Drosophila melanogaster: one gene and its partner. The protein of the gene in region 1 purifies or fractionates together with the protein of each later gene. This does not show direct contact. Each region holds a gene or a part of one and is shown on either strand. Other genes may lie near its edges.

Region 1 (8,793 bases):
ACATAAATGCGTACTCACAAATTGGGATTTGCAGACGTATCGGTGAGCAGTGAGCGCTGCCTTTGCAGCGGCAGCACGTGTGTTTTTCCACTTGGAGCCCGCTGTGGTAAGGATCGCCTGATAGGCCAACGTGTGCACATGTATGCGCGAGATAGAGCGACGCTTGGCATCGCTTGAGCTTCGGTCTTCGTAATCTTCAAGGAGACTAATGAAAACCTGCCGCATCTGGTCAAGGGTGTGAGCTATGCGCGGATTCCAGTCGGTGGCTAAGGTCGTCCGTCCGTGAGCAAGAACCTGCTGCAGGTTAGAGAGCTCTTGTTCGTTCATTCCCAGGGAGTCTACGTAGGGCAGTACAAAGTGTCGAAGCTGTTGAAGCAGCTGCAACTCCACGTAAGAAGCCATCTCGAAGTGGTTCAGAGTGCCCTGCGGCTGGCTGGTTAGTTGCCTTTGTACTTGCTGCAGGCGCGCCTCTCGCTCACCAGACTTAAAGGTGAACATGTCCATCATTTGCAGCCCGCTGACAACCAACAGCTGTGGCTGATACATCTTCAAAGCATCCGTCAACTGCTCCACGGCCCGCAGATGCGGATTATTTCGATCGTTGTGCAGAATGTAGCGATTGGCGCGAGGTGCCACATATGGGCCCCATTTGTCACCAGCCTTGTACTCCAGAATAAGATGGATGTCATCGTTTGGAATCTCGTCACCAGCCAGACGAATCTCCTTTGGCAGCAGTGGCCGCAGCCTGAAGAAGTTTTTACATTAAGTTCCATGAAATAATTTGTTATTCAGATAGGTAATTACTTTCTAGACATGTGGGCGCCCAGTAGCACTTGAGCTCCCTCCATAAAAAAGCGCACGGCCATCAGTGGGGCGTTACCACCCATGTACCAATTGATCCTCTCCTTGTCCATCACCTTGGCGTAGCCCACCAGCTGTGTGAAGAGGGTACTGTTTGCCATCACTCGCCTGAAAAGTGGACCAGTATGAAATACTTTGTTAGTAACTTGCATAGCCAATAAAATATTGGATATCCAAGATCCTTCCATGCAACTTACTCCGCTGCAGCGCCGTTCTGAAAGTAATAGGCAAAGGACTGCAAGAGCTCGTCCTCGTTGTTCACGACCGCCCGAGATCCTGTAGTGGCTGCTGCGACTGGAATCCGGCGCCCATAGTAGCGATCCAGAAATTCAGTGGCGTTTATCTGCAAGTCCGTGCAGGCTCCGTAGCCGATGGCCACCTTGGGTGCCGGTTCCAACGCGGTCCGCTTCAGGGATCTGAAATACAAATGCATATATAGCTAGTGCTGCAGTGTAGCCGAATGAACTCACCCCTCGATTGCCAGGAGACCGGTGAGCAGGACAGTCGTCCTGTTAAGCGTCTGCAGGGCGATGAATGCCTGCCAAATTATGGAAACAAAGGCCGTTAGGACGGAACAGCCGGTGATCCATCCCATGTATCGCAGGGCGGTCATTGTGGGCGTGGATTGTTGTGTGATTGGTTCGCCTCAGTTTGGGCTTTCCAAACTATTTTGTATGTGACAATCCGCCTTCCGGCTACGCCAACTTTCTTATCAGAATTATCGCTCTTTTTCCTTTGAGATGCTTCAAAGCTAGCGATGACACTATCTGCAGTTCTTGGACTACAGCGATAGTCCAACCAACAGTTACATTTGAATGCTATACTGCTATACTATATTTGAATATATTAAAATAAATTTAAATTGAAATGTGCACTTATAAGAGCGCCCTCTCAATGTGTTAATTTGTTCAATGCATAGAACAGCTTACATTGTGTTTAAACATCTTTTTTTGAGCATATTTTTTCGCTAACATATTGGGAATATGTATGTTTATTTGATCCTCGTAGTTTATATTTTAATTTTTTAAGCAAACAAATAAAATTGCAATTGCTTATCGATGACAACAATGGTTTGAGCCACAGCTACTCGAAGCTGGACAGTTCAGTATTGAGCAACTGTAGTTTCGATAAACGATATGTTCCGAAATAACGCCTTCTGCTATCGAAGACAGTCTTGCGTCTGTAAAGTGATAAAATAATTTTACAATTGAGTCGCCTTGGGAATTTCAGTCACTCTCCACACACCAAATACATAGCTCGTGTAACAGCCTGATTTAGTCGAACAGCACATCATTTGCCGGAATCGTTAGCGAATAGCAGCACTCTCCGCTAAGTCGGCACGCTAATTGGCAAAACCGATTCGATTCCAGGGAAGGAGACACACTGATAGACGGGTGAAGAACAAAAGGAGAAGGAAAACAACAGTTAATCGTCAAATTTTACAGGCAAAAGGTGAGCAACTACGCCTTGCACACAAACAACCGCATCGACGAGCAAACGCACGCACACACAAGCCTTATCGCCTGCGTAGTGGTTGGTGTATATAAAAAATTAAAACAATATTTGCACATCCGATTATTACTATAATATTTCGCGTCCACATATATTAGCAAGTGTGCGTGCGCCTGCCCTGGATTTACGTGCCAGTGTTTGTGCGAGCCTAGCGCGTTTGTGTCTGTGTGTGTGTGTAATGAAATGCAATTTTCTCTTGGCATTTTGCGCGCCTCCGATTTTCGCTGCCCCTCTGCAATTCCGCCGCCTCCCCCTCCTTTTGCCATTTAAGTTCTCCCGTGTCGCCATTGTCGCACCTTGGCTAATCCCAGTACTATCACCCGTAGGCAGCACACAATGAGCTCCGCGGAAGAAAACAGCAACAGCCCGGCCACCACGCCCCAGGACACCGAGACCACCGAGCAGGCTAACCTCACGGATCTCGAGAAGATCGAGGAGGAGAAACTCAAGTCCAAGTATCCCAGCGGAATGCGCGTGCCGGGCGGACACTCGGCCTTCCTCCAGAAAAGGCTGCAGAAGGGGGTAAGTGATTAGCACAATTCGAAAACAATCAAACAATAAGTTTACTAACTTTCGGTGTTCGGGGATACCCAAACCCTGTAATATGAATATCAATTAAAAATAATAATAATAATATTATTTAGTAGTATTTAGTACCCGTTGTTTAAAGGAAAATAACAATTCATGTTTCCTCTATTCTAAGATCCATACTATTTGGCAATTGCTTTCTGAAATCAATGAAACTCAATAATCACAGCGCATAGTTTATATCAACTTGATGATCTGGTAAACGAAATCAGATTGTTACATTAAGTTTGCATTTGGAAGATATCTCCGTTTTAGTTCTAAAAAGCTATTTGATTATATAAGAGAAATCTAATATGTATTCCTTCATATCCTTCCCACAGCAAAAGTTCTTCGACTCGGGCGATTACCAGATGGCCAAGCAGAAGGGTGGCGGCGTCAAGCAGGTCTTTGCCAACAAGGTGACCACCGGGGAGGCCATTCCCACGCCCGAAACCGTGCCGGCGCGCAAGACTTCGATCATCCAACCCTGTAACAAGTTCCCGGCGACGAGCTAATTTACTCACCACTCAACACTCACCTCTACTGTATCCACAACCTCAAGTGCAGCCAGTTCTCCGTTCCCCACTTCAAATGCTCTATACCTAATTTTAATGAAAAACCTAATGCTAAGATGGCTGCTGCCGGATTGTGCGGGCATTTCGCGACAGTTTAAACTGAAATTCTAGCACCATGTTCCGTGTTTCCCCCGTTAAATTCAATCGCCATCCGCACTGGCCAATCAATCTCAAGATCAACTCATCAGTCCATCTCTCAGGCCGGGGAAGCGAAGATGGCGAGCCGAGCAGCGCGAAATTTATTGCAACAGTTATATATATCTCTATCTTTGTAACATTAAACTAACTTACCCTCGTCGTACATAGTTGTAAGTATTACGAGCATAATAAATTTAAGTTGGAGCAGCCAGCCACACACACACACACGTTCTCGTACATTACTGGGATTCCATCAAAAGTTTTTAAAAGTTCACCATGTTCTATGGAAAATGTTTTTATATTTTTTTTTTTGCATTCATTCTATAAGCAGTTGACGGAATTTCACCAACTAATTGATAATAACATAGGTACTGCTGCTTGCAGAGCTAAATTTTTGATGCAAAAACCAAACAGTCGAGTTAAAATGAATTTGTAAATCAAGCAGAGCTAAAATAAATGTATGTACGTATACTTATAAATGTGTTGATTTCCTGGGGCGCTAACCCAACAACTGAATCGGAAATGTGCCATACAAATGTTTACTTAAATTATAAGTGCCCGGAGTGGAGTCTAATTAACTAGGAAACGTTCCTTCGAGCGGTGTGGTATGGTAATTGGTTGTTCAAATTGGACGGGAACGAAATGAAATCACCAAAATAGGTGGGAAATACACAATATTTAATACAAATAGATGGGTTCATATATTTTCATACGAACATCGTGTTTTAGTTAAAAGTTAATCGAACTTGCAAAGTGAGTTTTAGGCCCAATTAAAAAAGTTTTAACCAATAAAATCGCTTTTTGGACCACAGTACAAATGAAATCAATCAAATATCCAAGTTTTCCACCAATCGATACCAGCAGATTAAGCATCCATATTGCCACACTTCTGGAACTATCGATAGTATCGCATAAACAGTGTTTTGTACCAACTCTAGGCGGAAGGCGCAGCGGTGATAAAAGAGAAAAAGTGATCTTTAAATGCAATTTTTCGGTTCCAAATTGCATTTGTTATGTGCTACGCGATAAGCACCGCATCGCACACCGTTTTTCGAAGTTCGCAAATGGCCAAGATCAGCGGAAAGACGAGAAAACACGCTGCAATGTAGATGCCCACGAGCAGCCGCGGCAGCAGCAATAACAAAAGCAAAAGTGAAATTAGCGCCGCCAGAGAAGTGCAAGTGGTCAAACAAACGGCGGCGCCATGGAGAACCTCAAGATAAGCGACAAACTGTTCGAGGATGTGATATACTTTGTGCTGGGAAATCTGGACGAGGAGGTAAAAAGCTGCAAAGCGAATCTTTCGTTTGCTGTTGCTGTACTTGCATTGTGCGTACGTGTGTGTGTGTTTGTGTGAGCGGGTGTGCGTGCGTCTCACAGGGTGGGTTGGAGCGCGGGCGGACAGGGTAACCCGGGCACCTTGGCAAATGCGCGCCATAAAAGTTGCCGGCAAATTGCCGTGTTTGTGTGTTTGTGTACTGGAGTTTGTATTGGTGCTAAATCAACTGATTTTTGTTTTGGTTCTCCTCTACCAACGGAAGCAACATATTTGGCACCCTTGAAAAAAGAATTCTTATTTGGTCACATACATATATCTTTTATATATACTGTTTAAATCAAGTAATGTAATAAATAATTATTATGCCTTTGCCTTGCAGATCGAACGCTTTCTTAAGAGCGGTGGCGCTCAATCGAAACTGTTCCTGTCGGACCAAATCACCCACATGATATGCGCCACCAACTACAACGAGGAGGAGCTGTCCATGAACCTGGACCTCTACAGTGCAATTCCCGTAACGGAGCAATGGATCGTGCACAGCGCCAAGCTAGGCCGAATGGCCTCGACACGGGCTTTCGACCCGAGTCCGAATCAAATGCGGTTGATGCGCGGCATTCGGGTGGCCATCACCAATGTAGTGGCAGGGGATCGAAGGCGTCTTTACGCCATGCTGACATACCACGGTGCCGTAGTCACGCACAGCTTTGGGGCCACCAACACGCATCTGGTGTGCGGTGCAGCCAACGGTGGCATCTACAACAAGGCGCTGGCCCTGCCCAAGAATGCCATCATTATTGTGACGCCCGACTGGGTGACAGATAGCCTTAAGTACAAAAACTGCATGCCCGTGGAGACGTATCATCCGAGACTGCTGAAGCCCATTGAAAAGCAGCGAACACAAAAGCAGCAGGCTACGCAGCAGCAACAAATTCAGCAGCAGCAGCAATTGCAGCACCAACACCAGATGCAGCAACAACAGCAGCAGCAGCAGCAGCAGCAACAACAACAACAACAACAACAACAACAACAACAACAACAACAACAACAACAGCAGCAGCAGCAGCAGCAGCAACATCAACAGCAGATTATCCAGCAACAGGCAACGGCTACTTCTGCCCTATCTGACATCCTTGGCTTTGGCGAGGACAGCGTAGCTGCCAAGAGCATCGCTAGCATTAAGTCTCAGCTGCAGGCTTCAGCTGAACAAATACAGCAGCAACAGCTGCCCGTACCCGCACAGCAGCAGGTGGTCTTTGTGCGCCCACAGCCACAACCCCAACAGCCAGCACAACAATCCCCTCACCAGTTACAGCAAGGTGGTCCTCAAGCACCTACTCCTGCACCACACCCGCAGCATCAACAACAATTAATAATTCAGCAGCAGAAGATTATCCCCGCCAACCTGCAGCAGCAACCACAAAACCAGCAGCAAATCAAAAATATCCTACAGCAGAGACAAATGAAAACAACGCAGCAGTCTCAGCAACAGCAACAAATCCAAATGCAACTAATGCAGCAGGAGCAACAGCCGCATCCTCAACCACTTCAACAGCAGCTTGCGCAACAACACCCGCAACAAATCGCACAGCAACTTCCACAGCAACTTTCTCAACAACATCCACAACAAATTCCTCAGCAACAGCAGTCGCCCCGACTGCCAACGACTCCAACAGGCCGGCAGACACCACGTACACCATCTACAACGCCGCAGCCCGTGCAATCCCCTCAGCACCACCAGCAGATAGTTCAACAGCAACAGGTGGTGCAGCAACAAGTGGGCCAGCAGCAAACGATGGTACAGCAGCAGCAGATAGTTCAGCAACAGCAAATTGTTCAGCAGCAAGTTGTTCAGCAACAGCAGCCACAACAACAATCTGTGCCGGTTTCGCCGCAAATCATACACCAACATCTAATGCGGCAGCAACAAATTTTGAACCAGAATCAAATGCAATTGCAGCAAATCGTGCAAAGCGGACAAGCATTGACGCCGCAACAGCAGCAGCAACAGAGACAAATTCAACAACAGCTGCAACAAGTTATGCAGCAGCAGCAGCAATTACAGATGCAAATGCAGCAGCAACAACAGCAACAGAATCTACAACAACAACAGTCGCCTCGGATGGTGCAAAACCGTTCGCCGGTAATGCCACCAAGTACGCCATCCCCATCGTTGCAGCAACAGCAGCATCATGCAACTAGCAATATGTTGCCGCCACAATCGCCGCGACAACTGCAATCCCCAGCTCCCCAAATGACTCCGCCACCTCCGCCCTCGCCGCAAAACGCCCAGCAACAACATTTGCGCCAGCAACAGCAAATGCAACAGAATCGACAACAGCACATGATGGGCTCGCCACAACAACCTCAACCACAATCTATGATGTCGCCGCAACAGCAGCAACAGATGCAGCCCTTTCAACAGCCCGTCCATCAACAGCAGCGCATGCAATTGCAGCAGCAACAACAATTGGCCCAACAGCAGCAACAACAGCAACAGCAGAGTCCCCAGCATATTTCTCCGCAATCGCCCCAGATTTCTCAAACTCCACCCATGCAGGCAAAGCTGCATCAGCATCAGGTGGTTCCTGGACAAGCCACTCAGCCGCAGCAATCATTCTCCCAGCAGAAGCCTATCGACCCAACGGACCCCGTTCAGGTAGCTCAAGTGCTCAGTCGATCTGCATTGAGCAGCAATCAGGACTCGTTGATAATGAGGCAGCAACAATTGAAGCAGCAACAACAGATGCAACAGCAACAACAAATGGCACCGCAGCCCCAGCAGCAGCAAATGGCACAGCAACCGCAACAGCAGCAGCAGCAGCAACCACAACAGCAGCACACCCCTTCTCCGCGACAATCGCCACTGCAACAGCAACCTACTACCCCCACCTTGCAACAGCAGCCAAACCAACAAAACGCTCAAGTAAAATAAAGAACATATATTATTTTTTACCGGAAATTAATGATTACTTCTTTTTAGCAAATACAGCAGCAACAACAACAACAACAGCAGCAGCAGCAGCAACAACAACAGCAGCAGCAACAACAGCAGGTCCTGACGCAGCAACAGCCACAGCCTGGACAACAGCAACAAGTCATCACTCAGCGCCATGTTATAAACACATCCACGGCTCAAGGACAACAAATCATTCAAAGTCATATGTCTTTGGCCTTGCAGAAGCAGCAGCAATTGTTGCACGTTCAACAACAAGCACAACAGCAGCCGCAGCAGCAACAACAGATTACTCAAGTGCAGCAACTGCCACCGGCACAGCAGCAGCAACAGCTTCCGCAACAGCACCAAGTTCAACAACAACAACCGCAACAAGTTCAGTTTACACAACAGCAGCAAATAGCACTTGGAGCTGGTGGTCAAGTGCGGATAATTCAACAAACCATACAACGTCCACCAACCAATGTTCAGCAACAGCAGCAGGTTCCACAACAACAACAACAGCAGATTATTGGTCAATTTCCCCAGCAACAGCAGCTGCAACAACAACCACAGCAGGTATGCCTACTCTTAGTTTTTTGTCTTTTTTTTTAAATATTTACCCCAATAAATTTTCGTTTGATTCACACCAGCAAATTTCTGGAGTTCAGCAGCCACAACAACAGCAGCAGCAACAAAAGACCTTTATAATTAGCCAGCAGCACTTTAATCAGCTTAGCGTACAACAGCAACAGCAAATCCTAGCCCAAAATCCGCAGAGCCAAAACGTTTACGTGGTCAATCAGACACAACAGCAACTTGTGCAGCAACAACAAATGTTGCAGCAGCAGCAGATTATACCACAACAGCAGCAACAGCAGAGGATGCAAATGCAGCAGCAGCCGCAGCAGATTGTTGTTAACCAGCAA
Region 2 (8,793 bases), about 13 Mb from region 1:
GGCACGGGACTCCGCCGCTAAGGTCGTTCCAGCACGGTTGAGAGCTGGAGGAGGCGGCAGCAGCAAGAATCCCTCGCGGAGCAACCAAGGAAGCTCCGCGTCACAGCGTCGCGGGATGGGTAAGTTCTTAAAGTTCACACCATTAAATTTGGGTGAAAGAATAAAGTATTCATAAATATAATTTGATGGATGATCTGTAGGTGCCCAGTACCAGTCGAGTCGTTGGGATCAGCACTTCGGTGTGTTCCGCTCCTCGCCGGGCGATCCTCACCAGCAGCCGCAGACCGCCTGCATCTCCACCACACATCCGCATCAGCATTCGCATCCGCAGCAGCCATTCGATCGCGAGGCACTCACCGCCGAACTGGTCCAGTTCTCCAGGTCACTCAGGTACAGTTGTGGGCTATTTCGGGGAGATCACCTCATTGGGAACAGGACCCAAATTATATGTATATATCAAAATTCACTTATACGATTGGCTGTTTCTCGCTCTTACCGCCCGCTTTTCGCTTTCCGAAATCTGAAATCTGAAATCCGCATCCGCATCCCGCTTCCGCCAACCATCAGTGCATCCAATCGCTTTTGTCCCCAGTGGCGCCGCCTTTCGGGGGCTGGTTCCGCTCCGGATTTGTCCGGATCCCATGCTCATGCTAATACCACCAACTCCACCAATGCCACAAACCACCAAAACCCAACCACCACAGTCACCACTAATTACTACAATTTGCTCTCACTGAATCGATTGTCGCCGTTGGATTGGGAACTGTATTGCTCGCACCGCCGTCACCGTCGTCACCATCACCGCCACTCGCACCACCACCACCACCACCACCACAAATCCTCAAGCAGCAGTGTGCGGCGGGTGCGCCCAGTGCGACCGGGCTTGGGAGCGGGATCGCAACCCTCCGGTGGAGGCGGAGGAGGAGGTGGAGGAGGAGCTGGCTCCTCTTCGTCGGCCCGGATCATCAGCAATTCCTCCAGCCTGATCCAGAGGGCCACCAGGGAGTGCTCCCTGCTCCAGCCACCAGCTGCTAGTCGTGTCTACTGGCAGGCCTCCTCCTTTGACGGCGGCAGTAATCATCCGCCCGGATTGGGCATGAGTTCCGGCGCAGAGAAGCGCAGTGAGCGGAACAAGCGGTCGGACACCGCCAAGCGGCACGTTCTCTCCCGGCAACGACCCATCGAGCAGGAGGAGGCACGGGATCACAGTCGCAGTCCGCTGGGACACAGGCGGTGAGTTCAAGGTGTCCAATAGCTCCTCTAGCTGGCTAATAACATATACCATTGCTTACAGGAACTCTACAATGTCGGACTCCTCGTATAGCGGCCGCTGGACGGCTCGCTGTGCCTCCATGGCCAGTCGAACATCCAGTATCGAGTCTCGGCGTGTTCAAGTAGATCTTCATAGTCCCGAAGTGATGCCCAAATCCATTCTCCGTTCGCCCAAGCGCTACAGCTCGGGTCCATCGGCCACGCCTTCCGTGGAGAAGGAGTTTCGGTATGTCCATGTTGTACCCCTCCAAATCAAGTTCCCAAATAGATTTTAACTCGGTTTTCCTTGCAGGAGTCAGTTATCTGTATGCTCGGAGCCACCGCCACCGGTGCGCCAGCTGTCGGGCCAATCCAGCATGGAGCCAGCCGTTCCCGAGGAGAGTCTGGATCAGTCGGAGGAGCAGGAGGAGACGACACAGCCCAAGGCGTCCTACGAGGAGATCACCGAACTGCAGCACCACACGAGCAGCTTGCCGCCGAAAAAGGCTCGTCCGGGATTCCTGCCCCTCGCGCGCAGCGAGCAGGAGGAGGATCCGAGGCCAGTGGCCAATCCGCTATACAGGAGCAATAGTTCCCGCCAGTTCTACAGGCCCAAGAAAGGTGTTCCAAACGAGCGGGATGATTCCGTTTTCTACATACGGTCCATGGAAAGGGGATTGGCTGAAAACGGTGGGTGTGGCAGTGCGGATGAGCAGAGGTACGATTCACTGAGGGTCATCAACGAGAGGAGGACCACTTTGCTGAAAGCCGACTCCCAGGGCTCCTTGGGATCTGCGGAGCGAAAGTTGAGCAGCTTCTCCCTCAAAATGCCGGAGATCACGGAGCGGGAGAACTCGATTGAGATCGAAATAGATGCGGATGAGTTGCATCCAAGTACCCCGCCTTCTCCACCCCCGCCTCCGACACAGCCGGGCAATTCCCACACAACTGAATCAATCCAGGATCAGGATCCCTAGGATCGAATGGATACACCCACTTCTTAGCGTTTAACCAGCAGCCATCGACAATTACTTTAGCAACTCGATTGATGTTTGTATATGTATTTTTGTGCGTGTGCGTGTCGTTTATTTTTATAACCCCTAGATCGTATCTAGATAAGTGTTAAACGAGTATATATATATATATATATATATATATACCAGCAATTATCTCTGTGTTGCCTCGGGCCTAAGCAATCAACTAACGAACTAACTTCAACGACGTCTATTAACTTGATAAACTGATGTTATTAAAAATATAACTTCAGTTGCGATCGAAATAATTATAGCATGAAACGTAGAAGGATTGGTGTGCATTTTTTTTAGATTTCCTCCAATAGTCTCAGATTTATTTTCAGACATATTTTCCAACTGATTAAGGTTGTTTTTAGTTCATATTTCAAAGAGCTGAAAAATCAAACGATCTTTTTGAATCAAAATAAAGCCTATTCTTGGAAGCGCAGTTGGTTGGAAAACACATAGAGATATTATTTTGATCGCAGCTGTCGTCACTAGTCTTCCTATTGTTAGAATATGAGATATATCACGTTATTACGATCCCATATCTGGGGCCGAAATGTCCCGTTGGGTGTACCGTTGTTATCAATACTATTTATCGGTTAATGTTAATGCTAATCTCTACGAGGATGTGTACTCACAACGATCTAAATACGAGGGCGTGGCCAAATAAATGCCAGACTTGTGCATACCCTGTAAAAAGTACAATCAGCTTATAGTAAAGACTGATTAGGCAAATTGATTTACAAAATTGGTCAATGGCGAATGGAAAACTAGTCAATGAAAAGCAATCGGAACACGGATTAAGTTCGATGCACATATATAATTAGTTGTACGCTCTCAGTGTTAATCCCCACATTACAGCATTATATGTACCTATACGATTATATATCTGAGTGTTTATTTGTAATCCATGCAATTACAATGTTTCTCGTTCCATAATAGATGTTGAAAATCCCACAGCAATCCGAAAATTCAAAATGCCCGAGTTGGTTTAAATGGAAGGCCGAACACGAATCTCTGTTGATGTGCAGCGAATTTTTGTATAATTGTTCATTGCATGTTTAATATTGCATAAATAAAAACAAACAATGTGTGTCTAATAATAGTCTTGGTGTTTTGTATTGTCGAATACGTCCGAAATAGGTTTTAATAACATAGTCAAGCATTCAAATTACCCGCCAATTTTCCACAGCGTTGCCATCGGTTGCAGGCGGGTGGCCACCCTGGCCATCGATAGCACGCGCCGACGATTATCGCACTGTCATCGAATTGCGACAACCCTGGGAGCAGGAAGGTTTTTCGGCCGAAAAATAGAGAACAATAAAACGTTTGTGGCCCTCAGCAATATAGGGATCGCCGAGTGCCGTGTTAACCGGTGACCTCTCGCCCGTGCCCCGAGACCTGTGACCCCGCGCAACTGCCCGCCTCAATGTTAATTTGTGGCAGCAAAAGCAGCAGAATTTGGAGCAGCAGCGTGTAAAAAGTTGCGGAATTATCGTGGCACCGCGGAGAAAGAGAGAGCAGGAGAGAGATTGCCGCACGCATAAAATATGATCAAATTGCAAAATTGATTTCAATTGGCCACTCAACAAAAGGTACGTTCGATACACCCGCCCCGGCGCCCACGAAATTAGCACAATAATAACACCAAACACCTGGCTCCTCCATTTACATAAAACTCGGAAGAAGTAAACCTGGCAACTAGTAGGGAATCGTGGACTTTTTGCTTCCAGCGAACGTTATTTTCCCATTTCTTCCATTTGCCCTGCCTCTCCGTGTGTGCATGTGTGCGTGTGTGTGAGTGCGTGCATGTGCTGGTGTATGTGTGTTGTGTTCGGCAGAGATGAGTAATTTAAAACTCCCAAAGAACAGCAATGAATGTCTGTCAAATGCAGGTAGTTTTCAAGATGAACGACCAGCTTCCATGCCGAAGTCATTTCACTTTCCATGACCAACTTCTAATCTAGAAAAACCCATTAAAAGAGCCCTTTGAACCTGTTACATTCGTGACCGATATTTACGTGAGCCGGCAAATCGTCGCAATTACTCATCTCTAGCGGGCGCCGTGTGGCACCAAAAAATCGTCCAGAAAATGTCCAGAAATGCAATGGGCAGCAGTTAGTTTTGTTTGATAAATATGCATTTATAATGCGTCTACATTTGAGATAATTCCCGTGTAAGCCTTATTTAAATTATGCGTCTCTTTTGCTTTGTTTATTTGATTTTCTCATTACACCGTCTCATCACAGCTGTGCGGCCTTGCCAGATCGCTTTTCTGGCTGCGGCACGCGGAGTGGCGTGAATTGAAAATCGCATTTAATTAGAATTTAACCTGCGTCGGGTAAAATATAATGAATTTGTGCGCTCCAGCTGCATAAGCTAGTGTTAGAATTGAAGTTACTTTATTGATGTGATATATTTAAACGTGCGGCTCAAGATTTGTAGAATCAGCCATAGTATTCAACAGTTGGTCTTGTCAATAGAAATTGTTTTGAATCATTACCCTCATGCCCCCATACTTTATATTAATAAATTTAATTAGGGGACTCTAATAAATGGTGTATTCTTCTTTCGACTGCGTGCATAATTAATATTGATTGCCCAGTCTTATATAATTATCTCCTTAATGTACTAATTAATCAATTGCTATGCGCTCTCTTTCCGATCAGCAAAAACCAATTTCAATGTTTGGCGCCTGCTGCGACTCTTGAGACTCGTCTAAATCCGCAAGTACATTCAACCGGAATTTGAGCCAAGTTTCTAACCTTTGGCCTCAAAGCCATGGCATCCACGTCGTCGTCGGCTTCCACGACGGCGGGATCCTCCGGCGCGGCAGGCGGAGGAGCAGCCACGCCCATCTCAACGCCCTCGACGCCCCAGCCGTCTGGCGTGAGCAGCGGACCCGGCAATAATGGCAACAACAACAACAACCATCACAACAACACCCTGGTCTCACCATCCGGGAACAACAACTTGATGACGCCCGTCCAGGCATTCACTCCAACCGGACAGCCAGTGTACAATCCACCCGTCTATATGTCCGCCCACGGAGGACACCCGCACGCCGGAGCCCACTACCCGGCCATGATCCCCGCTCCGATGCCCAGCAATCACGTCTATGTGAACAACGTCACTGCCAATGTGAACCTGCATGGCTGGCCGCACGGTGTTCCGGCTTATATGCCACCCGGAGGTCAGCATCACTACATTGGACACGGCGACATGCCCCAGGAGCAGGTGGGTGAAACAGAACAGGATCTATATACATCTGTTCGATAATTTCGCTAATTACTAAGCATTGTTACTAGCTAGCACCTACATTACTGACCTTCTTACTTGTTATTCCACACAGGGCAACACGGTGATGCCGCACCTGCAGCCTGTGCCCATTAATTTGGCGCCCCAGGGCGGATCTCCGAATCCCCATGGTCCTAGAATGGGTGGCGGACGGATGCGCGAACGAGGTCGTCCCCGTGGCGGTGGACCGCGACGCAATGACTACCATGGGCCACGTCACCTCCAGCAGCAGCAACTGATCACCCTTCCGCCGCAGCAGCAACTGCCACCGCCGGACGGAGCCAATCCCGGGCTGCAGCTTCAGCCGGATCAGATTGGTCAGCAGTTGGCGCCGCCGGAGGCGCACATGCAGCACTTACAGCAGTACTACGCGGCGCCACCAACCTACGCCTACGGGCCATATCCCTCTCCCTACTTCACACCCCAACATGCCAATGTGCAGCCTCCCCCCAATGCCACTGCTGCCCAACAGGCAACTGGAACGCCGCTCTTCATCTCCGGACCGCTGATGTATAATCCTGCGTGGTTCAACCACGGTGGGTACATCTACCCCATGATGCATCCGGCTGAGTACCAGTATGTACCCGAAGACGCTGGCCAGCCGGGAGTGGATGAACGTGGAGCTCAGCCGGACGGCGGAATGACCCAGATCTGGCACCAGGGCCCCATGTACGCAGAGGACTTCGAAGCGCTACAGCAGCAGCAACAACAGCAACAGGTGGCTGTGCATCCCAATGGAGGTGCTGTCAGTGTAGCCGATGAGCTCAACCACAATAGCTCATCCCTGCCCTCCTCGGAGACGTCGAGCATGATCAGTCCAAACTATCCCATCTACGATCCACAGATGCACGAAATGCAGCACCAAATGGGCGTGATGCAGATATTCGACGATGGTCAGATGGCCGCCCTGCAGCCAATCCATCCAGGAGCGGGTCCGCTACCGCAGGTAAGTGGGCCTGGCATACCGTGAAGCTAAAGACAATGGCAATACTAAACATTTCTTATCGTTAATAGTACGAGGACGAGCTAGCCGAGTGCGGAGCACCGCCACCAGGCCCTATTCCGGTGGCCTGGACTGCTGCCATGCCCCTCCCTCCGGATGCAGTCCAGCCAGCTCTGCTGCCGCCACCGCCGCATCACATTTTGCAGCAAACGTCGCCCCTGTTAATCGAACAGCCAGCCCAGTTGGTTCAGGCGCAACCTCCGCAGCCACCAACACCCACTCCCCAACAGCAGCAGCAACAACAACATCAGGAGCAAACGGGTGAGTGCTAGTGCTCGGTATTGATTAGTGATTCATTTGGGAATTGGAATTCATAATGCAAGCTGAGTTTCACTTTGTCTAATTTCCCATTTTCCATTCCGAACGTTCATAATCTTGCATCATTCGATGTTGCTCGATAAGGAATAATCAATCATTATGAATTGTATAAAAACTAGAACTTTGCACAGACCAATTGAAAAATGTGTATATTGGCTGAGTCATGAGTATTTGAATAATCTCCTCGTTGTGGGTCAATGACTTTTCACTATCTTACTATTATGAGTTTTTGTTGTCAACTAATTCTTAACTTCAGTCGATTTAGTTGTACATATGTGGTGTGTTCCTCTCTCAATATATATCACCATATATTTTATCACAACTATAAAGTAACTCTGCATTTGTCCTGTTATTGTTTTGGAGCAAGCTCAGCGATAAAGGCAGCGAGATCATTTTGTGGACTTTTAACACGACTTTCGCACAGAGTATCTGCGTTTCGTGTTACTTTACATCTATTGAAAGGCAGTTTTTCTATGTTGTACGAGTATATTGGAATTCGTCATGGCGTGCCTTCGATAGCGTCGCCTGGTCCCGTGTTCATATGCAGTTTTTTGCTTGCTTTGCTTTTCCACGCTTTCATTAACTATATTCTCTTCAGTTGCCTTACACTCTTCTCAGGTGTCAAATGACATAAACGTATTTACGTATGTGTGCACATTTTGCCATAGTTTGTGGGCCTTAATTATTCTGAATGCTTGTTGCCAGGCCTACCTTTGTTTTCGGTTGCCCTTTTGCTTTGGGCTGGGCTTTCATCTATCGTCGTGTAGTCGCCAACAGGTGTTGAACTTGTTGACCACCCATCCACCCACTGAATCATCCACAACCCACTCTCTAATCAGCAGCACAAGTCGCTTCCGTCCAGTTCTTTGTTATTATTATTTTGTTTGCTCGTTTCTTGTGTGCATTGTTCACGCTTATCAATCGAATGGGCGGACAAATCCGAGTGAAAATACCGGGTTGGGACGTCTCCCACTCCCAATCGTAATTGAGTGTTTTATGTGCCCATGCGGGGGATTCATCTAAACCTGTTGGCCTGGCGTATTATATTTGCCTGTTGTCAAGCCTAATTACCAAACAAAAGGCCAAGTGGACAGAGAAGATGTAGGGTAATCTATTCGGTTCTATTTGACCACTGTAGATTCTGTAGGTTCCATTTCAGTTAAAGAATTGTATGAAATTTGATCGATTGGCTACTAATCCCTTCCAGCGGCCAGTTTTCTTGGGCTGCGGTTGAAACAGAATCGCATATAGGTGCAGGTATTACTTCATTGATTATTAACACAGTAGATTGCAAGATTTTGATTGATTTATGGTTATTCTAGAGATATTTAATTGTTTTTTTTTTTAATTGCCTCTCGTGTTTGAATGCACATGGAATGGGAATTGGGAATCTCTCACGAAATGGAGGAGGTCTTGCCAACTGATTGGGTTCCAGTTGTTTTCATAACCGTATCTGTATCTACGTTGATTCAACGAGCACCGTCTAGTCGAGAGGTTTTTCTTTTATGGCTGTTTTCGAAGCACTTGGCTTTGCAGACGGCTTTCATATGGCGATATCGCCAAGTGTTTGTCCACTGACTAGAGAATGATACACACTACAGTATTCCTCTGGTCGGCCACAATTAGTGAAGCCATAACTCATCGTGGCAAATTGATTAGGCTAATCATTTGGGTCGAGGGTTTTACGAGTAAGCTTGTTATGATCTGATTTTCCGCGACATCGAAGGGGTTTCACGTTCTTTGATAAATGCATTAACTTAAGTCCAAGGCAAACTTTTGATCGATGTCTTTTAGAGCGGCACACGCTCCCCGGGGAGATTATAATTGTGCTAGAGCTTTCACGAGCTACCTCTTGATAGAAGTACTTACGCTTATTCAAATAGAGCGCAGTCCATTGAGTCCATG

What was found.
Region 2: the proteins of Ptip (region 1) and Usp10 purify together in Drosophila melanogaster (affinity purification with mass spectrometry, with the first as the bait; one large-scale study listed by BioGRID). This does not show direct contact.

What each region holds. Positions count from the first base shown.
Region 1 is NT_037436.4:14,024,909-14,033,701, reverse strand, and holds the start of Ptip (PAX transcription activation domain interacting protein), read left to right. Parts: upstream 1-4,580; 5' UTR 4,581-4,857; coding exon 4,858-4,932; intron 4,933-5,311; coding exon 5,312-7,855; intron 7,856-7,912; coding exon 7,913-8,443; intron 8,444-8,517; coding exon 8,518-8,793. Other genes in the region: CG6650 (uncharacterized protein), read right to left, coding at 19-745, 805-969, 1,059-1,277, 1,332-1,474; endos (endosulfine), read left to right, coding at 2,710-2,895, 3,282-3,455.
Region 2 is NT_037436.4:868,369-877,161, forward strand, and holds the start of Usp10 (ubiquitin specific protease 10), read left to right. Parts: upstream 1-4,542; 5' UTR 4,543-4,611; intron 4,612-4,939; 5' UTR 4,940-5,051; coding exon 5,052-5,507; intron 5,508-5,622; coding exon 5,623-6,513; intron 6,514-6,581; coding exon 6,582-6,831; intron 6,832-8,793. Other genes in the region: CG12502 (uncharacterized protein), read left to right, coding at 1-119, 201-390, 568-1,233, 1,295-1,498, 1,565-2,228.